Linked DNA regions of Mus musculus. The protein of the gene in region 1 purifies or fractionates together with the protein of each later gene. This does not show direct contact. Links are inferred from orthologs where the notes say so. Each region holds a gene or a part of one and is shown in the gene's direction. Other genes may lie near its edges.

Region 1 (4,539 bases):
AAGGTGGACTATAAAGGAAACATTTGGACTTCCTCCTAAAAGCAGGCGGGAGCCCGCAGGGTACAGTGAGCATAGGGGCAGAGCTGCCCACATCACTTCAGCCTGGAAGGGTCTCTCCATCCCTGAGGGTGCTGGAATGAGCAAGTCAGGTATTAAGACCAGTGACTGTAAAAGAGCAAAAAGTAGCAACTGATGTCTGTGAGCTGTCTGGGTCCTCCCTGCTCAAATTCACTGCATCTGTTTGAATCACTAAAAAAGATTTGTAATTGAGAAACCATGTGTTCAAATAGGTTTACCACTTTAATACTTAACCATTTTGGAATCTTTAAATAAGTAGAGTCTGGATAGAAATAAGAAAACAGTGATGTGTGTATAAAGAGTCTTCTATGGATATGGTTATCTCCATCCTTTTCTGACTAATCTTGTTCCTAAAAATACAAAATGATTAAAACCATGGAGGCAAAGCAGAACACATGTAACGAATAGTTAAGATCTACATAAATTTAAACTTGATCACAGCAATTGGAAGAATATACCATTTAAATGAGTATTTTTCATCCGGGCTAAGTCTAAAGATTTGGCTGATGGCTACTACCTAAGCCAAATAGACCTGTTTTCTGCAAAATAAGGGAGTAGAATTAAAAATCAGTGTGTAAGCGGGAACTGGGGCGCTAAGAGTTAACCTCTTTCACATGGATCAGTCAATCAGAAGACATTTATTAGTACCCACTTTGCTCGGAACCGGGGATACTAAAAAGTGGTGGGCTTCCTTCCTAGAGTGCAGGGTCTCTTAAACTCCTGAGTTACTCAGGTCTCTGATGATACAGACGCAGTAGCAGTGCCAGAGTTAGAACCAATAAAAGTAGCGGTCTGGTAGCGACAGATCAATTAAGGAAATGGAAGGCACAAGAGGAGCCTTTTGCTTTGAGCACATTTGCTCAAATCGACACAAAAGGAACCATTCTCGAACTCTAGAATATGGCATAATAGTCTTCCAATGTTCAATGGAAGCGCAGAAGGTACAGTGATGTTTCCAGGGCACATCGTCAACTAATAGGTCATCCAAAGGCTGGTGCGGCTGGGGTGCTTGATGCCAAGCCAAGCCCATGGCTTCCTTGCTCTGGCTGTGCGTGCTCTTCACCCATCCTAGGAGTTCCCTGAAACTCCTGAAGTCCCCTTCTCCAAATGGGGAACCCGACTTAGGCAGGGTTGCAGCCTTGCCGGGTACAGACCAGCTGGAGGAGATCCATCAGGCTTCCTGCTTCTCCCGGCTCCGTGGTTCCCAGGATACTATAAAAATCTCCACCCACTTCTCCAGCGCAGCAAGCGGGTTTTACGGGAAGAGGCAATTAAGCCTGCACCCCCAGGCTCCGACGGAAAGCAAAAGCTGCAACCTGAGGCCATAGCCATGCAGACCCCCCACCCCAGCAAAGGAGCTCGGCGCCCGCTCTGCAGGGAACAGGCCCGCCCCCCTGTGTGCGCAGGCGCGCGCCGCACCAGGCTCCCACGGTCGGTCGCTCGGTGCGGGCGGCAACCGCTAGCCATGCAGGTAAGAACGGGGCAGTGGTCTCTGGCTGGGCGCTCCCAGGTCGCCACACCCCAATCCCGGTCCTCACGGCGAATCCTGGGGTCCCGCAGGCACCGCCCCAGGTCCTTTTCCAGCTCCTGCGGCACCGGCTGTGGGCTGGGGAGGTGGCTCTGCAGACTCTGGGCTGTGGCGCTGCAGGTGGGGGCTTGCTGGCTGCTGGCGAGCGAGCCCACTGACACTCTCTGCATCCAGAGCGGTAGGGAGGGCAGAGCCTCGGCCTTGCAGAGAGATGCTATCAAGAGTTTCCATTAATAAGAGGGTGTGGAGGGCGAGTGTGGGCTATCCATAGGCCATTTGGCAAACTTTCCACTGTAATTGATCTTCAATATTTTTAGCAGAAAACAGGATTTTAAAATTTTTGGAAATAAAGGGGGGGTGGGGGGTGATGTAAAGAATTCCGCCATTTTAGCGGTTAGAAAGTAACTCTTCTGCAGAGCGGACAGATCAGTGACCGCCCCTCCCGCGACTGTCTGCATTAGTCCCAAGGAGGTGGGTGGTGGTTTTGGAGACTCCAGCCGCTCAGGACTGCTTCTACCGGCTAGCTGCGGCAGAGAGCGAGCTGGGGGAATTCCCCACCCCACCCCCAAGTGTGCTGTGTGCATCCACCACTAGCTGCCCTGTTTCTCCAGCACCTACCACCGGGGCTTTTATTGGATGTCTGCTGTTTGTATTATGGTCTCAAAAAACTCTGGTGTGGTGTGTGTGTGTGTGTGTGTGTGTGTGTGTGTGTGTGTGTGTGTGTGTGTGCCTGTCTATCCATCAAAAACTCGACAGCAAGTGACAACAGCAGGGACACATTCAGAAATAGTTTATTGAGCATCTACTGTGTGCAACCACTCTTGTTTTAGGTAGGACTCCCTGGAATCATAGACTAGGTTTATGAGAGTAGCCTTGTGAAACCAACAAGATTGGGCAGAGATGTTGAAATGCTGGCGTAGTCCCAGCAGAGGCCTCAGCCTGAGGAGCAGGAAGCCCTGAACCTGAGATGGCCCGGAAGAGAGCCCTCAAATGAAGGTAAAGGCATGGGGTCTTTCTAGCCCTCTATGAACTAATCATGTATGGCTGACCGAGGGAGAGAGCACTTGAGAGACACTTCCCGGGCCAGTTGTAGAGAGCCTGAGGCTGATGGCTGACAGTTATCATTATGTTCCAGAAGGGTCTCACTCAATGCTTTTCTCTCATTGACACGGGTCCCCTTTGCCCTCCCAACATGTTTGGGTTCTCCAAGGCTCCACTCTTTTCCCTGTAGTCATTTCTCTGTTTCAAATACCATCGTCACACAACATCTTTCAAATCCGTCCCAGCTCCAACCTCATCCTTTATCTTTAAAGTATAAGCCTCATGAGAGCCCCTTGTCTTGGTGGCACCTATAGCCCCCAGAGTGCAGTGCAGTGTTGAGACCTGGACTTGCTGAGACCAGGCATCTAGCTGGATTAGAAAGGCCATCTTCAGCTTCTTCTGAGACACCTGCTACGTGGGGCTGGTTTTTGAAACAAAGTTTTTTGAATAAGCCACTCTTCTTGATCTCTCCAGTATTTGAAACAAGAGATTTGTCTGTTTGTTTATTTATTTGTTTATTTATTTATTTATTTATTTATTTATTTAATGTAAGTACACTGTAGCTGTCTTCAGACACACCAGAAGAGGACATCAGATCCCATTACAGATGGTTGTGAGCCACCATGTGGTTGCTGGGATTTTAACTCAGGACCTCCAGAAGAGCAGTCAGTGCTCTTAACTGCTGAGCCATCTCTCCAGCCCCAAGTAAGCCGGGCGTGGTGGCACACACCTTTAATCCCAGCACTCAGGAGGCAGAGGCAGGGGGATTTCTGAGTTCGAGGCCAGCCTGGTCTACAAAGTGAGTTCCAGGACAGCCAGAGCTATGCAGAGAAACCCTGTCTCGAAAAACTACAAAAATAAATAAATAAATAAATAAATAAATAAATAAATAAATATGATGCAAAGGTGGGGGTGGGGAGATGGCGCAGGGTTAAGAGCACTCGTTGCTCTTGCCTACCACCCAGGTTCAGTTCCCAGCACTCACATGGTGTCTGACAATCATCTGGAACTTCAGTTGGGGGGGGCAGGGCTGCTTGGGGGGGGGGTGCCGCTTGGGGGGGGGGGAATCAGAAGCCCTCTGGTGGCATCAACAGGTACTGCATACACGTGGTGCCCACAAACATTCCAGCAAAAGCAACCATACACGTAAAATCAGAGTAAATATTTCTAAGTGGTACAAACTCTTCAGCCATGAAAAGCAAAATAATTGGGACTGAAATTTGGGGGATTCTGGATTGCAAGTTTTAAACACTCGTTTTTTTTTTTTTTTTTGACCCTGTCTACCTGTTTATACCACAGCTTTAGACTTTTAATGATAGACATCTATAACATATTCTGTGTTTTAGGGAGGAAAGCCTAGGAAATAAGTGAACAAACAAGGCGAGCAGGAGGGAAGGAGGGTGGGCACGAAACAGCAGCCATTGCACCTGATTTTGCAAGTAGGCAGGGTCCATGTTACTGGCTGGAAGCTGCCAAGCTCCCTGGAGCTTCTGTCTGAAGGGAGCGAGAGGATCCCTATTTGTTGAAGACCTTCTGGTATCGCTACGTCACATCCAGCATTTACCAAAGCCCCCCGAGGTAGGTGCCATCATCATTTTTATTTTATTTTACACTTAAGAATCTGGGGCTCAGAGTGGGAAAGTTACTTATCTGCAATCACAGGTATTAAGTAAATGTAGAGACGCTGAGAGACCAATTCAAAAACTCCGTCCTAAGCTAAGCCTTACTCCTTCCTTATCATATATGCCAGACGCCGTTGCCAAGCGCTGCTAGGAGGCGCTGAGTAGCAATCACACCACAGAATACAATTCCTTCTCTTCTCTTCCATTTCTCCCCATCCATCCCCCAACCTCTCTGCTGGATTTGAACACGGGATTCATGCTTGGCTAGTA
Region 2 (3,814 bases), about 34 Mb from region 1:
GATTCTTACTAGTAGCTACTCAGTAGTGTCCTAGTTTTGTTCTGTTGTAGTGATAAAACACTCTGACCAAAAACACCTTAGGGAGGATGGGGTTTACTGCTGCTTACCCATCCATGCTGGGCAGGAGCTCAAGTCAGGAACCAGAAGCAAAAACCATGGAGGAGTGCTGCTTGTTGGCTTACTGTCTGGCTTGCCCACAGGCTCATGCTGAGCTAGTGTTGTTTTATAACCCAGGACCACTTACCTAGGGATGGTGCCACCCACAGTGGGCTGGAGCCTCCTACATCAATTCATAATCAAGGTCATAGGCACCCCCAGACATGTCCACAGGCCACTCTCACCTAGACAATTCCTCAGTTGAGACTTTTCTTTCAGGTGACTTTAGGCTGTAACAAGTAAAACTGAGAAGGACAAATAGGGCTTCTGAGTTGAGTGAATTCATTTTAAATACGGTATTGAGTAAGTATTCAATAAGTTATTGTGGTTGCTTGAGGAGATCACTGGTGCAGTAATGAAAGTACTCGGGTGTTCACAGTTCAGGTTTTGAATATGTACTTGATATTTTCTTTTACTCTTAGTCTAATTACGTCTTTTGATTTTTTTCATATATTTTATGAAACAAAAGTATATAGATCTAAAAATACATTATAATTTTATGAGAATTAATAGCTTGGCATTAATTAATGTGTATGTTTATTGAAATTGGAAGAAACATCAAAATTAAAATAGGCTCTTCTGAATTGTGTCCCTTTGTTTATCATGAGTGTGTATTCCTGACTTCCTCCTGTTAAGGCTTATTTTCATCTCAGTTATTTAATTTTTCCAGCATGGCAGCAATTTGATTGGCATGTCTGATCTCAATGTGCCTGAGCAGCTGTATCAGTACATGGTTGGAGGCCATAGGCGATTTCAAACTGGAATGCACAGGGAGAAACATAAGTCTCCAAGTTATCAGATCAAAGTAAGTGAAGTCAGAGGAAAGGATCAGAGCCACAGGCTGAGATGTCAGCTGCACAGCAGTGGCTTTGCTACCAACAGCGATAAGTGTGCTGGAGCTCTTACATGAGTAACTTTCCTCCCCAGGAAGGAGACACCATAAACGTGGATGTGACTTGTCCCGGTGCTACTCTGGCGTTGGCTATGATCTACTTAAAAACCAATAACAGGTATTAGCACCCTCACCTGTCCTGCATGATACATGGCAGCCTTTTTGCCCTCAGCAGTACAATCTCCTCATTTGTACTAGAGCAGCCTGATGTCTGTTCTCTTGGGTAATGGGGCTGAGTAGACTTTGTGTAGCACTGTTTTCTTTGGGAATGGTGTGCGTCAGGAATCCTGTCTCAGTGTCTTCAGGGTATTGGTCCCAGAACTGTACAGACACTAGAACCCACAAATGTTCAGGCCTGTCACATAAATACATGAGATGTACATGTAATTTATTCACTTCATCTTGCTACTTTAAATCTATAGATTAATTATAATATGAAATATGCTTGTATTTACCATATAAATGGTTGTTAATGCTGTATTGTATAGAGAAACATGATTCAAAAATCAAAAGACCATCTGTGTTTAATTTAAATGTCAGTTTTTCTCCCCTCTGGTATTTTCAAGTGGATGTGGAAGAAAAGGTTATAGAGGGCAAGCCCAAAGAACGGCCTACTTCCTTTCAGTAATTTTGCATATCCTTGTGAGTACTGTTCAGCCAGGAATACTTAGCATTATTTTGTACTTGGTTACCATTAATAAAAATGGTTTCTGCTTTGTTTAGAAGCTTTTCTAGTGATTAAACCTTCTATATTCCCAATCTGTCCTGAGTTATGTCCTCAGATCACCTTAATACTTTTAATTTGAAAAATATTCTGAGACATGAAATTCTCCAGTGTTCTCAATTCTTACATTTGGGAAAATTCTATGCAGAATTAACAAAGTGGCAAAAGATATTATTAATCTATTTGGATGAATGTATGTCAGCTGATATTGGAGATATTTCAACGAACAAGGCAAACTAAACAGACCTTCATGGAACTTATTTATATAGTAAGACATAAAAACATAAATATTACATAAGCATTTGTGAAACATTATGAAAAAGCTAGACCTTTGTTGGAGGAGAGAGATGATTTGATGTCTTGATATTTGAATACCTGACCTCTTCCTTGACTGGTGTCCTCTGCCAACAGGTCCATTGCTGATTGGCTGCGTGCTCCTGATACCATGTATTTGCTAGACTTTGTGAAACCAGAATTCCTTTTGCTTAGGGTATGGTACTTTGTCATTTTCGTTTTTCTTGACATGAGGGGAGCACTGTATGTGATCCTCAAGTTTAGCTGCAAATCTAAATGCCTTTCCACGAAAGGGTTTACTTTAGCCTGTCATGTTTTTCTGATTAGCAATGTTCTTTTGAAGTTTCCCAAAAAGAACTTAGAAGGGCTAGGAAAGGTGGCCACTGTGATAGATAATAATGACATTTGTAATGACATTTCTTATATTATTATTATTAAAAACCCACTAAAAGGCAGCATGTGACCAGGATCTTGTTATTTTTAGTATCCTTGGGGATGTAGTAGTACTGTTATGGTTGTAGTTAGAATAACCATTTAGTACTGTGTAAAATTGTTCTGTATTTCTTTTATGTTTGAACTTAGCAAGCTTTTAGATTGACATGTATGCTGAGCTGTGGCTCTTTCCTTTGTGATTTTTCTTTCACAGTATAAGAAGGCCTTCTCCAAACCCTCAATACTTGGATCGTGATGAACTAAATTTTTCTTTAAGATCTAAGTCTTTATTTTGATATATTTAGTTGATAGTCTGTGTTTTAAAGTAGTTGTTAGTTGGGAACGAATTCTTAGTTTGTTTACTGTTACAGTTATTGGGAAATACATGAGCTTTGCCTGATTAATTTTGTCTGTAATTCATTTTTAAGACACTTGCTCGGTGCTTGATTTTGTGGGATGATATCTTACCAAATTCCAAGTGGGTTGACAGCAATGTTCCTCAGGTAAGTACAGACAATAAATACTGTAGCATTAATAACATAAATTGTGATTTCTTGCGATATTTTCCAAAGTGCTATAGAATATTTTTTCCTGTGGAATCAGTTGTTTACCCTTAGGTATCTTCTTTTTCATGATTTGTTTTTTGATCATTTTTAAGCATGTGTGTTTAAATGTGGATGCTGGTGCGTAAGGAAGCATCAGATCCCCTGGAGTTGGAGTTATGTGCAGTTGTGAGCTGCCTATAAGAGGTGCTATGACTTGAACTCAAGTCCTGGAAGAGCAGTGCTTACTTGTAACTGCTGAGCAATCTTCCTGCTCATCTTTAGGGGGATCTTTTGACAAGACAGAGGAACTTTAATTTTACGAGTTTATACTAAAGGTCAAAGAGATGACACAGCAGCTAAAGTACTTGCCTTGGAAGCAAGAAAACCACAGCTAAAATGTCCAGGTCTTCCCTCAGGCTGGCACTGCTTTGTAGGGGTGGTCATGGCTGAGGTGGCCTGGTCCTGCAAGTGCTCACACTTCCCAGGCTCCTTCTGAGCCCCTCCTGGCTATCGGATAGACTGATGTGGTGGAGTGGATAGTGCTAGAATTTTCTTCACTAAGCTTACACTGCGTATGCTCTACTTGTGTGGTTGTGCTTTCTGAAATGCTAGGGTCCTCAAGTCCCATATAAACTATGGTGGAAGAAGGTAGAGATGGGATCCCCTGCACAAGCTGGCTGACAAGACAAGATATATTGTTTGATTAAGAGATCCTATTTTAATGAATAAGGCAGAAGGACCAAGGGAGGTTCCTGACCTTAGTCTCAGGCC

The links.
Region 2: the proteins of L3mbtl1 (region 1) and Anapc1 purify together in Homo sapiens (affinity purification with mass spectrometry; 4 studies listed by BioGRID and IntAct, counting the BioPlex papers as one, with this or other methods). This does not show direct contact. The link is inferred for Mus musculus from reciprocal best matches to the Homo sapiens genes L3MBTL1 and ANAPC1.

Annotation. Positions count from the first base shown.
Region 1 is NC_000068.7:162,941,992-162,946,530, forward strand, and holds the start of L3mbtl1 (lethal(3)malignant brain tumor-like protein 1), read left to right. Parts: upstream 1-1,473; 5' UTR 1,474-1,549; intron 1,550-2,436; 5' UTR 2,437-2,602; exon of another isoform or gene 2,603-4,539. UniProt on the Homo sapiens protein: Polycomb group (PcG) protein that specifically recognizes and binds mono- and dimethyllysine residues on target proteins, thereby acting as a 'reader' of a network of post-translational modifications.
Region 2 is NC_000068.7:128,631,785-128,635,598, reverse strand, and holds part of Anapc1 (anaphase-promoting complex subunit 1), read left to right. Parts: intron 1-826; coding exon 827-961; intron 962-1,083; coding exon 1,084-1,166; intron 1,167-2,183; coding exon 2,184-2,262; intron 2,263-2,926; coding exon 2,927-3,001; intron 3,002-3,814. UniProt on the Homo sapiens protein: Component of the anaphase promoting complex/cyclosome (APC/C), a cell cycle-regulated E3 ubiquitin ligase that controls progression through mitosis and the G1 phase of the cell cycle.